Linked DNA regions of Rhinolophus ferrumequinum. Each later gene encodes a partner of the first gene's protein in a complex. Links are inferred from orthologs where the notes say so. Each region holds a gene or a part of one and is shown on either strand. Other genes may lie near its edges.

Region 1 (7,097 bases):
TGGGGAGGGAGATCGTAAATCCCTGTGTCGGTCAGTTAACAAATTACCCTGAAATATTTTTCTGGACCAAAGGCTGAATGTTGATGGATGGATATAAATATAGAACGTAAAACTTTCTGATGAAAAAAATTAATACATACTTATTATAGAAATCTTTGAAAAAACAAAGACTTAAAATGGAAGTTCTCATTTACTCCAAACATCTGCTAAGAGGTGAGGCACCAGGTTGTCAGGAACCAGGTTGACTGGCAAGTGGGTAGGAGAGGCGGGGCTGGGAGGGGGAAGAGGGTGTATTTAGCAGTTCCTGGGTGGGGCAGGTAGAAAGACAGATTTTCATCCTTGCTTTGTCGTATGGGGGAGCTTCAGCTCGGGGATCCTCAGGGCATGGGGCTGTGCTGGAGGGGAAGGGAAGGAGACAGCAGAATGTAGTGTACCCTCCCCCAGTCCTCAGGCCACTCACCAAAACACTGCGAGTAAAGCTCCCTGCGGACAGGGCATATGCCAGTCTCCCTGGCCTGCCGCTGTTGCAGCTTCAGGTCCAGCTGCTCCTGGAGATGTACGACATCCATCCTGGTGCTGGGGGTGCTGGACACCTGCTGGATCCATAGCTGCGTGTCTTCTACCCACTCCCTGTGGCACAGACACAGCCAGGCTGAGCGAAACCCATTGACCAGAGACGGTCCTCAGGACACGAGTGAGATGGCCGTTTGAGCTCTCTGCCTGAGCAGGAGTGAAGGGCAACTCTGTCCCCCTTTCTTCCTTGGGGAATGTGTGGCTCCAAAGCCATGTCCATTAAGCTGCCTCCACAGGTCCCCTACCTTGGGGCTGGGCAATCTCTACTCTCCCACTGTGAAATCATCACCCATGTTCCAGATCTTACCCTCCTAATGTGTAGAGGGCAAATTGGTGGTTGTTGCTTAATCTGAACAGAAGGCCCAGAAGGAACTGCCCCCTGATTTGTGGGGTGGGAGACACGGGGCACCATAAACCTTGTGCCAGTCAGAAAGAGGCCAACGTGTGGATTGGGGAATGGAGAAATTCTTGAAGGCATGTAGCCCTCCCTATACTAAACCTCGTGTCAAGAGGCATGGCCCCATTCTGGAATCCTAAGGGGGGAGCCCAAGGGCAGAACCACCATGGGGGAGAGGACTTTCATGCATTGCTTGCTGGGAAGTAATTTACTGAGAAATCACCCCCTCCCCCTTCTTTGACTTCTATCTCTGAGGAGATTGCAGTCTCTTTTCATCATAGACTTAAAAATCAAATAAACAAAAAAACAAAAAAAACTGTCAACTTATTACGTAAAAATAGTAGAAAAACATGTCAGATAGTGATAAATGAGGCTACAGAAAAAAGAAGCCGAGTAAAGAAGAAGAGAGAAGGTACTCTTTTATAAGAATTCTCAAGGAAGGCCTCCGTGAGGAAACGACATTTGAGCAAGACCTGAGTGAAGAAAGAAGGCAACCAGGTGGCTATCATGTGGAGAGTATCTTTGGCAGTGAGAAGAACAGCAGTTGTCAAGGCCCTGAGGTGGAAGAGTGAAGTGTTTCAGAGACACTGAGCCGAGGCCCCTGTGGCATTAGCACCGTGAACAGAAGGAGAATAAGAGATAAGATCATGGGTACATCAGGGGCCAGATCACGCGAGGTCTTCCAGGTCACGGTAAGGACTCTGGGTCTCAGTCTGAGTGAGATGGGGAGCCATTAAGGAGTTTCTGGCAGACGCCTGGCGTGATCTGCCTTATGATTTCGGGACTGTGCTAAGAATAGATTGTAGGGGCAGAGTGGAGCCGGGTTTTCAGATAGGAAGGCCTCTGCAGTAGTGCAGGTGACTAACAATGACTAGGAACAAGACGGTAGAAGTAGAAGTGGTGAAGTGGTCAGATTTGTGGAGCCAAAGGAACTTGATGAAGGATAGGACATTGTAATGTAAAAGACCGAAAGGAATGAGAGGTGACCTGAGCCTCTAGTAGAAAGGAGAAGACTGGGAATGAGCAGGTTGGGGGAAGAAGAAATTGTGATTACGTCTGGACACGTTGAGTTTGAGATATCTACTAGCATCTTCATGGAGGTAATGAGGTTGTAGTAGAATATATGGAGTTTAGGGGAGAGGGCAGAGCTGGAAATACACATTTGGGAGCCATCAGCATATAGATGGTAGTTAAAGCCACGAGCCTGAGTGAGAGCACTCAGGAAGTGAGGGCAGATTGAGATCTCCCCACCACCCTTCCAAGATCCAGCCACCTGCAAGCACCAGGAGCTCTAGGATGGTGGGAGGAAATTCCAACCAGGAACAGAGACAGGGTTCCTCTTTCCACAGTCCCATGTTCAGGGGTGGAAAAGCCTGGGCCTTCTCCCAGCCACTGTTCCTCCTTTTTTACCTTGGAGGCAGGATGGCATTCAAGATTTCTTCTGCTTGCTTTGTAGGATCTGGGATACAGGAAGTTGTGGGGAGCTTGGTCTTTGGTGGTTGTGGGACTGGACCTGAGGGTCCAGGTTGCTGGGGGCTGATTTTCAGTGGCCGAGCCTGAGAAGAAGGAACAAGTTAAGACAGGAGGTGATTCAGACACTGAGCTCCGCAGGTCCTGGCACTCTGGATTGCTCCAGGTCTCCAGCACACCCCTCCCCTATTCCCAGCTCATTTTCCCATTTGTCTTCTCAACAGAAGTTATGTCTCAGAGCTGCAGGAGGCGGTGTAGAGTCTCTGGTCTCACCCCAACCCAATGCTTGTATCTCCTTGAACAGATGTTTCTGGCACGGTGCTCGGGCCTCTGCTTTCACACCTCTAGTAATGGGGCAATCACTACCAGATCTATTCTTGGACCCGGCTACCATGAAAAAGAGTGAACCCCATTCATCTCCCTGTGACTTCCCCATTCTAAATCTGCCCTCTGGAGTCGCCCAACATTTGGGCTTCTTGTACCTCTCTCCCTCACCCATCCTTCACCCATCCCAGTTCCCTTCACTCCCAGTCGTTTCAGCCTCTGTCCCTCTGGACTCCCTATCCTGTAGGCTAGAATCTGTCATTTCCCCATCAGAGCTACCAGGCTCCCGCGTCCCCTGAGATTCGTCCTTACTTTGGGGCTCCGTTTCTCCGTGTTCCGGCTCACCAGCACCGGGGTGTCATACTTGAGCAGAGAGTCCGCGGGAGGGATCATGGCGGCAACTGGAGTAGTAAGCAGCCCAGCAGCGGCCCCTCCAGGCTGGGCCTTGTTTACCGTCACCATGGAAACCTCCTCTCCCAGTCTCACGGCCTGGGCGGGGCTTCGAAGTTGGGCGGGGCCAGCAGAGCTCCATTTTTTTTCTGCATGGCTTTCACGAAAAGTTCTGCGGTTAGCTCGTCAGGCCTCCTGCTCACCGAATCGCTCCGGCACTCTTGGGAGAAAGAAAAACAGGGGTTTCGGTTCCTGCGCCACGTGTAGCTCTCAACCTGAATGAGGTGGCAGGTCTCCTTTGCTGATCCCCAATTTTCTTACCTGCAAAGGTGGAAGTCATCTGACTTCTCAGTGAAGGATTGGGGAAGGTTCCCAGAAGACATCTGTAGTTCTCAGGTTTTAAAAAGTATTTGTTTCTAATTAAATGGAGAAATGACAACGTAACAGAAAGTTCAAAACTAGAGGGGAAAATACTAATGATTTGCCCACGGGCTACCATATATGATTTCATTTCCTTCGTATTTCCAAACGTAAATGTAAGCACAGTTTGCGCACAATTTTGTATCCCGCTTCTGTCGTTTAACAAGTCAGGGTTTTTTCCTTTTGTCATATAGAGTTTGTAAATAGCATTGTGAGTGGCAATATAACATCCATCAATTGGCTAAACAACTCCCTACTGATGGGCATTTAGGTGGTCACCGTGTTTAATAATTACTAATGATGCGACGACAAATAGCCTCGAGACTAGCTTTTTCCGAGAGGTTGGCTTTGGAAACAAAACTCCCGCCACCCGAGTCGCCTCACTACAGCCCCGCCCACAAGAGCGTCCTTGTCACGTGTTTGGCTTCTCCCTCGCGAGGGTTTCTGGGAGAGCGTACACCGCAGAAGCGGAAGTCCAGGCGTCTAGCCCGTCATTTCCTTTAGCGAGAGCAGTGCAACGGACGTAGTTTTTCCTACGCTCCTCGGATATCTCAGCATGAAGGACGTGAAGAGCGAGCGAGAGAGGGGGAACCGGCGAAAGCACCGGGACGAGGACATAGTGGCGGCGACGGCGGCGGTGGTGGTGAAGCAGGAGCGCCTCAGCCCGGAGGCCGCTCCTCCCGTCCACCGCCGTCCGGACTCCTCCGGCGGTAGTGCGTCCCCACCGGCCGGCGAGCCGGGACGTCCTGGTCACCGCGGGAACCGAGCCCGAGCACGTAGTCGGTAAGTGGGAAGCAGCCTGGAGTGGACCTTAGGTCGGGCTCGTTGAGAAAGGGGGACCGAGCTAGCGTCAGAAACACACCTTGAACGCTGAGCGCAGCGGCTTGCACTTAATTCTAAGGTGTGAAAGAGATCGGGGTGGTGCTTGTGTTACTGTTTACCTGTCAACCTGTGTTGTAGCTGGGTGTTAAGCACCCAATGGACGGGATCCTGCCCTTTCATCTCTGTGTGCTCAGCGCTTCGCCGAGTATGAGCCAGCGGATCGTTTAAGTTGAAATGAAAGGTTTTCCCCACCTGCCTGCACATGGAGTGCGAGTGTTGTCTTTACATTTAACCTGGCCCCAAAGATTTCCGTATGGAAGGCCTAGGAGATCTACCTGATAGAACTTCTGGGGGGAAAAAGTCTCTTGCTAGACTCCTTCATTTATTCATTCAACATAGTTTTACTGAGTACCTATTATGTGCCCTAGGTACTGGGGCCACAAGGGTGAACAAGGTAGATGGTCATTACCTTCTCAGAATTAACATGCTCTAGCCCTGAGACAAAATAACTAGCAAATGAAGAAAATAGTTTTAGTTAGTAACAAGTATTAGGGATAGATTAAAACAGTAATGCGATAGAGATTGGAGGGAAGTGGGAGAAGGCAGCTCTGAAAAGGTGCCATTTGCGCTGAGACCTGAGTAAGACTAATCCGTAATCCAGCCTTGGGAAGATCCAGGCAGAGAAGACAATAGGTGCCAAGAACCTGAAGTGGAATTAATTGTGATTGTTCTAGGAATAGAAAAAAATCCAGTGTAGCGATCAAGGAGAGTGGTTGGAATGAGGTGGGAGAGAGAGGAGACAGAGCCAGAGGACTTGTTGATGGATTGAATGTGATTGCAGGGACGGGTGTGGGAAGCTGTTGGTGGTGAGAAAAAAAAGAATCAAGGTTGACTTCTTGTTTTTGGCTTGAGTAGCGGGGTGGATGGTGATGCTATTTACTGAGATGGCAAAAAGGAAAGGTTTTTGAAGGGTTGGTAATCAAGAGTTATGTTACATATATACCGTGTTTCCCCGAAAATAAGATCTAGCCGGACAATCAACTCTAATGCATCTTTTGGAGCAAAAATTAATATAAGACCAGTCTTATTTTACTATAATATGAGACCAGGTATTATAATATAGTATAATTAATATAATAATATAATGTAATACCGGGTATATTAATTTTTGCTCCAAAAGACGCATTAGAGCTGATTGTCCAGCTAGGTCTTATTTTCAGGGAAACATGGTAAGTGAGAGGGTTTGGTAAGCGGTTATGTCTGTGGGTCTGGAACTTGGGAGAGGTTAGGGCTAGGAAAGTGAAGCTCCTAACTCCTACAGTGTGAAAAGCAGAGACCTTCAAAAATGTGGTATTTGTGTAGTAGTAAGCCTGATATCGGAAGGTAATTTATATGGGGAAGGGACATTGAGATAAAATCCTGTGTGTCTCATTCTCTTAAGATCCCCAGCCAAAAAGAAAAAGTCCTCAGGGAGAAGAAGCAAGTCTCCTCGAAGTAACAGAAGCCGAAGTCCTCACCACTCAACAGTCAAAGTGAAGCTGGTAAGTGGATTGAGCTATTGTGATACTGGGTCCAAATCTGGAGCCTCTTTCCGTCATAGCTGGAGTGTTGTGTGTGTGTTCACCTGTACCTGCAATGGGCTTTTCTCAAAACTGGGTGGGGGTTTTTCTGCTTGTCTTGTTAAACTTTTTATTTTGAAATAATTATTAATTCACATACAGCTGTAAAAGTAATAATGGCGTATAGTCTGTATCCTGTTTCTCCCAATGAGTATTGTACAGAATTAGAGTGCAATATCACAACCAGAATATTGACATCAACGCTGTCAAGATATAAAACATTTTCATCACCACCACAGGATCCTTTGTTGTCCTTTTACAGTCACACCCACTACTTTCCCACTTATACCCCTCAATTGGCAACTTCTGTTGTCCATTTCTATAATTTTGTCACATCAGATCTTACATATTTCTTAAGTGTATTCCTGGGTATGAAATGACTTTTGTTACTGTTGAAATAATTTAAAATTACTATTACATTTTCATTTTTGGCATAAGAGAAAGCTAGCTTGTTTTTCTTTACGTATTTATCTTGTACATGACTCTCTGTTAGCTCTCTCTTCTGTATATGCTCCCCTATAAGTTTGCCTGCAGGTGCTCTTGTTTCTAGGGCACTGAACATGGGCTTGCACTGTTAGAGCTATAGCTGGGCTTCAGCATGGGGTACACAGTGTGACCTTGGACAGGTACATCACCACCACTGATAACCTTATTTCTGGGCGACATTTTGCTCTTGAAGGCCAAAGCCCAAATCACATTCCTTTTGAATGCGGCTTGTTCATAGGCTGTGAACTGCCTTTGATTTCCTGAATGGGTTTGAATTTCAGGAACGGGAGGATCATCCTCCCCGGAGAGGACGGGAGGATCGGCAGCACCGGGAAGCATCAGGACAGGAACACAGGCGAGCCAGGAACAGTGACCGAGACAGGCACAGGGGCCATTCCCACCAGAGGCTAACGTCTAACGAGAGGCCTGGGAGTGGGCAGGCTCAGGGCCGGGACCGAAACCTTCAGAACCTACAGCCTCAGGAAGCAGAGCGGGAGTTTTATAACGCCCGACGGCGGGAGCATCGCCAGAAGAATGAAGTTACTGCCAGCAGTAATGAGTCTCAGGAGCTGGTTCCTCGAACTGGTGGCAACAAC
Region 2 (7,364 bases), on another chromosome or scaffold:
AGGTCAGACCTTAATTCCTTAGCATGTGACACAGGCCCTTCATGATTCACTTCCTGTCTTTTCTTAATCTTATCTCTGAAGTCTCTGTTTTGTGGTTACCCTGTTCTAGTCACAGTTCCTTAAAATACATGATGCTCATTTATTCCTCTGAGCCTTTAAAGATGCTATCTGGGTAACGTCTACTTATCCTTAAAGATGCTATCTGGGTAACGTCTACTTATCCTTAAAGATGCTATCTGGGTAAACCTCTCTCATCCTGTAGGAAGTTTTCCGCAAACCAGCATCTCTCCCTTCTCAGTCCAGAAAGAGTGCTACACAGAACCCTATAGTTTATAGTTATTGAATATTGTGATCATTTACTTGTCTCCCTTTCCACGAGACTGGGAGCTCCATGATGATATACCTAGCAGAATGAATGACACATAGTTGTGTTTAGTAACAGGCTTTCCATACCTTTATTTTTAGTAATTCTTGCTATATAAGCCTTCCTCTCTTGTAATTTTTTTCTAGTTTCTTCAACTGTCTCAAATTCTGGAGCATAGCACACATGAAGCAATCCACCAAAGAAACTCTGTTCATCCATTTTTCTCTTGGCTGTCCTGAACAGAAATACATGATAGCATGGTTTATCAATCTAGATTTACTTAGGACGAAAGCTTGACTAGTATACAATGCATTGATCTATAGAGCAAAGTCCAGCTTTTGCTATGTGCATGTACATCCTGTGGTTTGGGAATTAAGATGCTGTGCTTGTGAATGCTATCGACCTTACTGATCCAGTGCATTCTGTTAGAACATTGACTCCCCTCTCCAAACTGTATTAATAGGTTTTGAGCTAAGTGATCCACACATATACAGACTCCCTTTAACCAACTTAGGATCCAGCTGGGTAGCCTAAGGTGTACAATCTGGGGTCACGAAATAGAGATTTTCTCTATGGTAAGTTAAATGGCCCTTGAGAGTTAGTTCATACCCAATGTAGCCTTTTCAGCACAATGTGTTCCTATAATGGGATTCATATATGAAAAAATTAATAATTGTAAAACCTACAATAATTGAGGCAATACTGAATATATAACAACTATTCAATGAGAAAATGAGAAGACAGTATTCATTCAATAAATACTTAAATATCTATGACCGGTCAGGCATTACTACAATAAATAGTTAAGTACTTCTGAGACCAGGTATAATGATAAGAACTACTTATCATTATATGAGGTTTTACTAAGTACTAGGCAGTGTCCTAAGCACTTCACTTGAATTAACACTTCACAACAACTCTATGATGAAAATGAGGCCTGGGGACATTTATAACTGAGCCATGCTCACGTTGGTTTGTGGAGCTAGGATGCAAATCCAGATGTCAAACGCCAAGCCCTACTGTACTAGGTGCTGTAAAAAATGCAAAAGCTCTAGAAAATATGCTCCCCTCACCATGAGGAGCTGGCAAGTTGGATAGGGAAGTGATATTACATAGAAGAGCAACCTGAGAACAATACATGACCCCATAAAATCAAGTGCTTTAATGGTAGACTACATGTGCTATTCGTGGCACACAAAATATGAATTGTAATAGCCAGGGAAGGATGGGTCATGGAGCAAATTAGTAAGGGTCAGCATAAAAGTAGATAAAGCCTTTCGTATTTCAGCCTTATTGGAACAGAATTGTTGTATAGAAAGTGGAAAAGATGGCGTCAATTTACGCAGGTGCATAATAAGAACTTCAATAATCAATGTTTACTGCATTCTGAACAGGAGGCACCACACTAAGTCCTTTATATGGATTATCTCACTTCATCCTCACACAACCTCACTTAAGTAGGTCCTTCTACCATATGGATTTTACAGAATAGGAAAAACAGGCTTAACAGGGTTAAATAACTTGTCCTAGGTCGTGATGCTAGTAAGCTGTAGAACTTGAAAACTTACTCCAAAGTCAATTTTTAATTTACAACACTGTATGACAGAAAACTGTTAAGCACGGGAATGATATGATGGAATGTGTTTTGGTAAGGCTAACATTTAAAAACACTGGAAGAAGACAAGAATAATACAGGACTATGTTGTTATTGGGTAATTCAGGTATGAATGGCAGACAACTGGGTACAAAATAATAGCAACGGGAATGAAAAAGATAAGACACTGCTTAACTTGCATATTACCTTGCACTTTGTAAATTCACAAATTTAATAAGGTAAACTTCTGTAAAGTCTTCTGCTGGGTATTCATCTAGAGCATTATACTGTTCAATTGCTCCATACAGAGCAAATCGCTCAACTAATTCCTTCATTGCTCCCACTGCAGGAACTCCTTGTATTAATAAGTACCGAGATTCCAAATTAATTGTATATACCTAAAAGAAATGCAGACACATTAAACGTATTTCATAAATAAACCTAGGACAAATCTACTTAAAAAATAAAAGCTTTAAAAGCAAGAAATATTCTGTTCCACTGGTCTGCAGAACACAGAACATCAAAAAATGTGCACCTCTCTCTGCATAACGAAAAATTCACCCCACGTGTGAGGGCCTCTAATTAAAACCTAAAACAGACTACCTTAACTGACATGTTTTCCAGAAGCTGGCTCGGTAAAAGTTACTGGAGTTAACAAATATTCATTGAGAGCTTACCGTGAGCCAAGCACTATCATAAACACGGAAGACCCAATGACTAAAACAAAGCCCTGTTTCGCAGAGCTGACGTTCTAGCAGCCGACCGAAGAGGTCGTGGAATCTTGTGGTACCTGAGTACCAGGCTTCCTAACACCCATCTCCGATGAGTAAGGGATACAACCTCAGTCTTTCAAGCCTTTATTTACGTAGGCTGGGCATGTGAAACTAGAGCTCACATAAAACGACTGAACTTGCCGAATGAAACCAAAATCATTTTACCTTGACAGCACGAGGCCGTCGCCCCTCCCGATATTTGGCCCGCGTGTCGCATATAGCCTTTTGGACGTGGTGGTCGAATAAGGTCCCCAGCTCCCCACCACTCGACGCCATCTTGCCGACTTTGGCCCTCACAGAGACGACAACATCCGCCTGGCTGCCCTTCTGTTTGTCCAATAAGAGAGAGGGATGAGTCAAGACGTGCCGGGATTGGCTGAGGAATTGACCATTGTTTCCTGCAAGCGATGATTCGGTGAACGAGGTGCCGCCCCCCAGCGGCGCGGCGGATAGGCCCAGAGAGCGGGAGAAGGCTGCTTGCTCCTCCCCCTACTCGTGAGCGGTGAGACGCGCCGCTGGGCAAGGGGCCAGGGGACGAGGGGGGAGGGACCGATCGATTTTATCCGGGTCGGACGCTCTGGGCCTGCCGGGTTGGCCGGGTCCGCTAGGGTTGGCGGTCGGGGGATCGGTGTTGCCCGACAATGTGGGGCAGCGAACGCCTGGCGGGTGCCGGGGGAGGTGGGGCGGCAGTGACTGTGGCCTTCACCAACGCTCGTGACTGCTTCCTGCACTTGCCACGGCGCCTCGTGTCCCAGCTGCACCTGCTGCAGGTAAAGCGCTGGCTCCGACAGGGTCTCCCAGCCCGGACTCGGGACACCTGGTGTGTAGTCTGGGGTCGGACCCGACCGAGGCCTTCCAGGGACGCGGCAGCCGCTCAAGGCCTCATCCGACGACCGGGTACGGGTTGCTTTCCCGGTGCCGCCGAGCGGTGTAGTGGCCAAACTGAGGGCCCTTCGAGGTCAGGGCCGGTCAGGGCAGTCTGTGCACTCCACACCACGTCTAGTGCAGCCCGGGCCTTTTAGTTAACTGGCCTTATCCCTGGGCTTTTCATTCGGTGAAACTGAGCTTTCAAACATCTTAGTATTCTACCTCTACATTCAGATATTCCTCATTCCAGGTTAGAAAACCCTTCAGAAGGGCTTTTGTTGTTATTTTTGTTTTTTAAGAATGTTCTTCCCGACGGCGATTTCCAGGTCCCTGAGCGGCTGTGGTCCCGGCCTCCAGCAGAAGGAGCAGACTTGGTTTGCGGAGTCCCTGTGCGTTAACAGGGACTGAGCCCGTGTCCCACCAGCGGGATAGGTTAAAGGTTCTTCTCTGCAGTCACGGGCGGACGCTGGGAGCACCTCCAAGGTGTGCCAGGAACGTGCAGTGGATTGTGCATACTTGGATATCTGTAGTTAGGATTCTTGAACCTCTGTTGTCATTAGCCCTTCTAGATTTAGTATTGTGGTTCATGGCTTTAACAGTTGCCTGAGATATGACATCCCTCCTTTCATAATTAAAAATAGAGGCACCTGGTCTAGGAGTTTGAGTGTGCTTAGGGAGGCAAAAGGCTAGAATACAGGCACACCTTGGAGATACTGTGGGTTCGGTTCAATACCACTGCAAGAAAATGAGTATGGCAATAAAGCCACTGGTAATCTTTTTGCTGATAGAGGGTCTTGCTTTCAATTTGTAAAGAACGCACCATCTGTGAAGAGCAATAAAGGGAAGCACAATAAAACGAGGTGTGCCTGTATTTGAAATCCTGGAAAATCCTGGACGTGTGGTACTCACCACTGGCTAATCCAAGCAGGAAATACTTAGAGAGTTTGCAATAATTTCAAGTATCGCACCTTTACACTTTAGCTGCTTCTCAGTAACTATTTTTCTAGATTATTTCCCTCCACTATCTTTCAAAGCTTACCAAATTCAGCAGATCCTTCCATTATTTCTTTTAGCAGACAATCTTTTGGTCCCTACGAGCTTCTTTCATGGCTGGAGAAGAGTTCATCACTAAGTCTAGGCAGGCCCTGCCCTGTGCTCTCAGTGAGATTTGGTGGAGTTTTTCAGCTGCTTTCAAATCCCCACCTAATGAGTGTGTAGGAATACTGCTTATAGTAACTAATAATGTGGCCCTAAGATGTAGATGCTATGTTCAATTCATCAGTGTTTAAGAATTTAGCAGTCTTGTCTTTATTTTAAACTTTGAGCTTTCAATAAATATTCATAAGAATTAATTCATGGATATCTTTTTGAAATTTAAATCTCTTCGGCCTTGGAACGAATTGTTGTTTCTGTTTAACTTATATCAGCAGAACAGGACAACTTTTCTCCCCGATTATAAAAGTAATATATGTGTTTTATAGAAAATTTAGGAGGCATGGAAAATTATAACCCAGAAAATTAAAGTTACCATTAATCCCCAAATCTGGAGATAACTAATGTTAACAGTTTGGATCAAATCTTCCAGTTTTGTTTCGAATCTTTAATTGTTTTTAACACAAATGAAGTCCTACACACACATATAGTTTTGTGTCCTGCTATTTTCGTATAGTATTATTATGAGTGTTTTATTTTGTTTAAAGGTCATCATTTTTCGTGTTTAATTAGTATTCTATCATAAATTTGCCATAATTTTTCACTATGATTGGACATTTATATTGTATTAATTTTTAGACATTAAAAGTGATAACAATAATTATATTTTAATAAAAAAGAGCACATCTTTGTTTATAAAACATTATTTTCATTTCTGGTTATTTGGGGTGGGTTCCCAGAATTATTGGGTTTGAGGGCATATGTTATTATTAAAGCAGAAAGTCATGAGTTGGGAGTTAATAGGTTGAATTATTTTATTTGGGCTGAAGCATTGAATGCATAATACAGATAATACTGTAAGGGAGGGGATGAGGGTGGTTTTGTGGCCTGTGTCAGACTTACCCTGAAGCTTTAAAAAATACAGGTGTTCTTGTCCTTCCCAAGATCTACTGAAACAGAAATTGGGGAGTAGACATCTGTAACTTTTAAAATAACTCCAGGCTACTTAGATGCACAAATGTGCTGAGACCCACTGTTCTAGAATCATAGAATGTTGATGGTGAAATGGACCTTAGGTGTCTATCTCCAGGCATACCTCGGAGGTGTTACGGGTTTGGTTCCAGCCCACTGCCCTAAAGCGAGTGTAGCCATAAAATGAGTCTCACCAAAGAGCGAGTTATAATCTTTTTTGTGGATGGAGGGTCTTGCCTTCTATTTGTAAAAATGCAACATCTGTGAAGCACAATAAAGCTAAGCACAATAAAACGAGGTATGCCTGTAGGTCATTTCTGTACTTTTACACCGAAGGAGACTGGGACTCCTAGGCGGTACCATTTCCATGCAGTGAATTTGCCTTCTTGTCTATAAGTCACTCTGCGGCATCCAGACTAGGCTTCTCATTATTTCATTCATAACCCAGCTACTTCCCACTTCTGTATTTTTACTCAATGCTATTGTTCTTCCCTACATTTTCCTCATTCCACGCCTTTAAAAACTGAACATAATCCTACCTCCTCCAGATAGCTTTCAAATTCTCTGTTGCCTACATTTGTCTCCTTTTCAAAACTTTCAAAACTTCACTGCTGTGTTTATGTGACGCATCTCATTTGTTAAGCTCTTTTCTGTGTTTCAAGTATTGTCTTTTGTTTATCCAAGTCCTCGTTTCAGGACTGGATACCCAGTTGGTGCTTTAACTCAGGATTTCTTAACATTTTAGGCTGGGTAATGTTTTGTTGTGGGGGCCTGTCCTGGGTACTGGAAGATGTTTAGCAGTGTCCTTGGTCTCTACCTACTAGATGCCAGTAGCACCCCTCCTCCCAGTTGTGGCTACCAAAAATGTCTCCAGACATTGCCATATGTCTCCTGGGGGACAAAATCACCCCCAGTTGAGAACAACTCCTTTAACTTAGTTACTTTTTCTGTACTCCAGGCTCAGGACTTGCTATGATTGATGAAATGGGGGAAAGGATTCATATGCATACTGAATTGTCTTCCAGAAATGACCAGAGAGGTACAGATTGTCATTTCTTTTGTGTTAGCTAGAAATAACCCAGGCTGGGACCTGGCCAGTCCTAAGGCATTGCAACCTATGATTTCACCTGAAGGTTTGGGCAACAGCAAGTAGTCAGTCATTTGCTGATTAGATTAAATTCCTGGAATAGGGGCTCCTTTCTCTAGTCTGTCCCTTCTCTACCTGAGTGCCCAGGGCGCTGTGGTTCAAGTGAAAAACTTTTGACATAAAAATGAACTCAGAACATCACTCTGCAAAGTTTACTAAATTTAACTGAACATATTTTATGACATTTATGGAGCTGGTTACTACATTTTGACCAAACGAATCATTGAAGTATTTTTTCTGTTTAATAAAGTTGGTTTTCTCCTTTTCCAGTGAGTTGGAAGAATTCTCCTTTTTGATATTTCAGGCGCATTTCCTATTTCCTTATTTAACATCTCTACTTTTAAGATTTTCTTCATGTGAAACAGAGACACTGTCACTGCCTCTGATGAAACGCCGTAGAAAGCATCTGGGGTGGGGTGGGCACTTTCGCTCTGGTGACCTCGGCTCCCACAGTTACACCTGACATAGTAACTTAGGACTTTTGACTCCAAATCT

Evidence for each region. Proteins that work in one complex are often made in the same cells at the same time.
Region 2: SNIP1 (region 1) and RBM48 share a complex: the UniProt entries of both Homo sapiens proteins name them as parts of the minor spliceosome. The link is inferred for Rhinolophus ferrumequinum from reciprocal best matches to the Homo sapiens genes SNIP1 and RBM48.

What each region holds. Positions count from the first base shown.
Region 1 is NC_046292.1:26,222,938-26,230,034, reverse strand, and holds the start of SNIP1 (smad nuclear-interacting protein 1), read left to right. Parts: upstream 1-4,046; 5' UTR 4,047-4,130; coding exon 4,131-4,357; intron 4,358-5,837; coding exon 5,838-5,937; intron 5,938-6,782; coding exon 6,783-7,097. Other genes in the region: DNALI1 (axonemal dynein light intermediate polypeptide 1), read right to left, coding at 461-630, 2,381-2,526, 3,077-3,157. UniProt on the Homo sapiens protein: Required for pre-mRNA splicing as component of the spliceosome. As a component of the minor spliceosome, involved in the splicing of U12-type introns in pre-mRNAs. Down-regulates NF-kappa-B signaling by competing with RELA for CREBBP/EP300 binding.
Region 2 is NC_046303.1:33,699,863-33,707,226, forward strand, and holds the start of RBM48 (RNA-binding protein 48), read right to left. Parts: upstream 3,046-7,364; 5' UTR 3,008-3,045; coding exon 2,897-3,007; intron 2,357-2,896; coding exon 2,166-2,356; intron 600-2,165; coding exon 460-599; coding exon of another isoform or gene 454-459; intron 1-453. Other genes in the region: peroxisomal ATPase PEX1, read left to right, coding at 3,373-3,501. UniProt on the Homo sapiens protein: As a component of the minor spliceosome, involved in the splicing of U12-type introns in pre-mRNAs.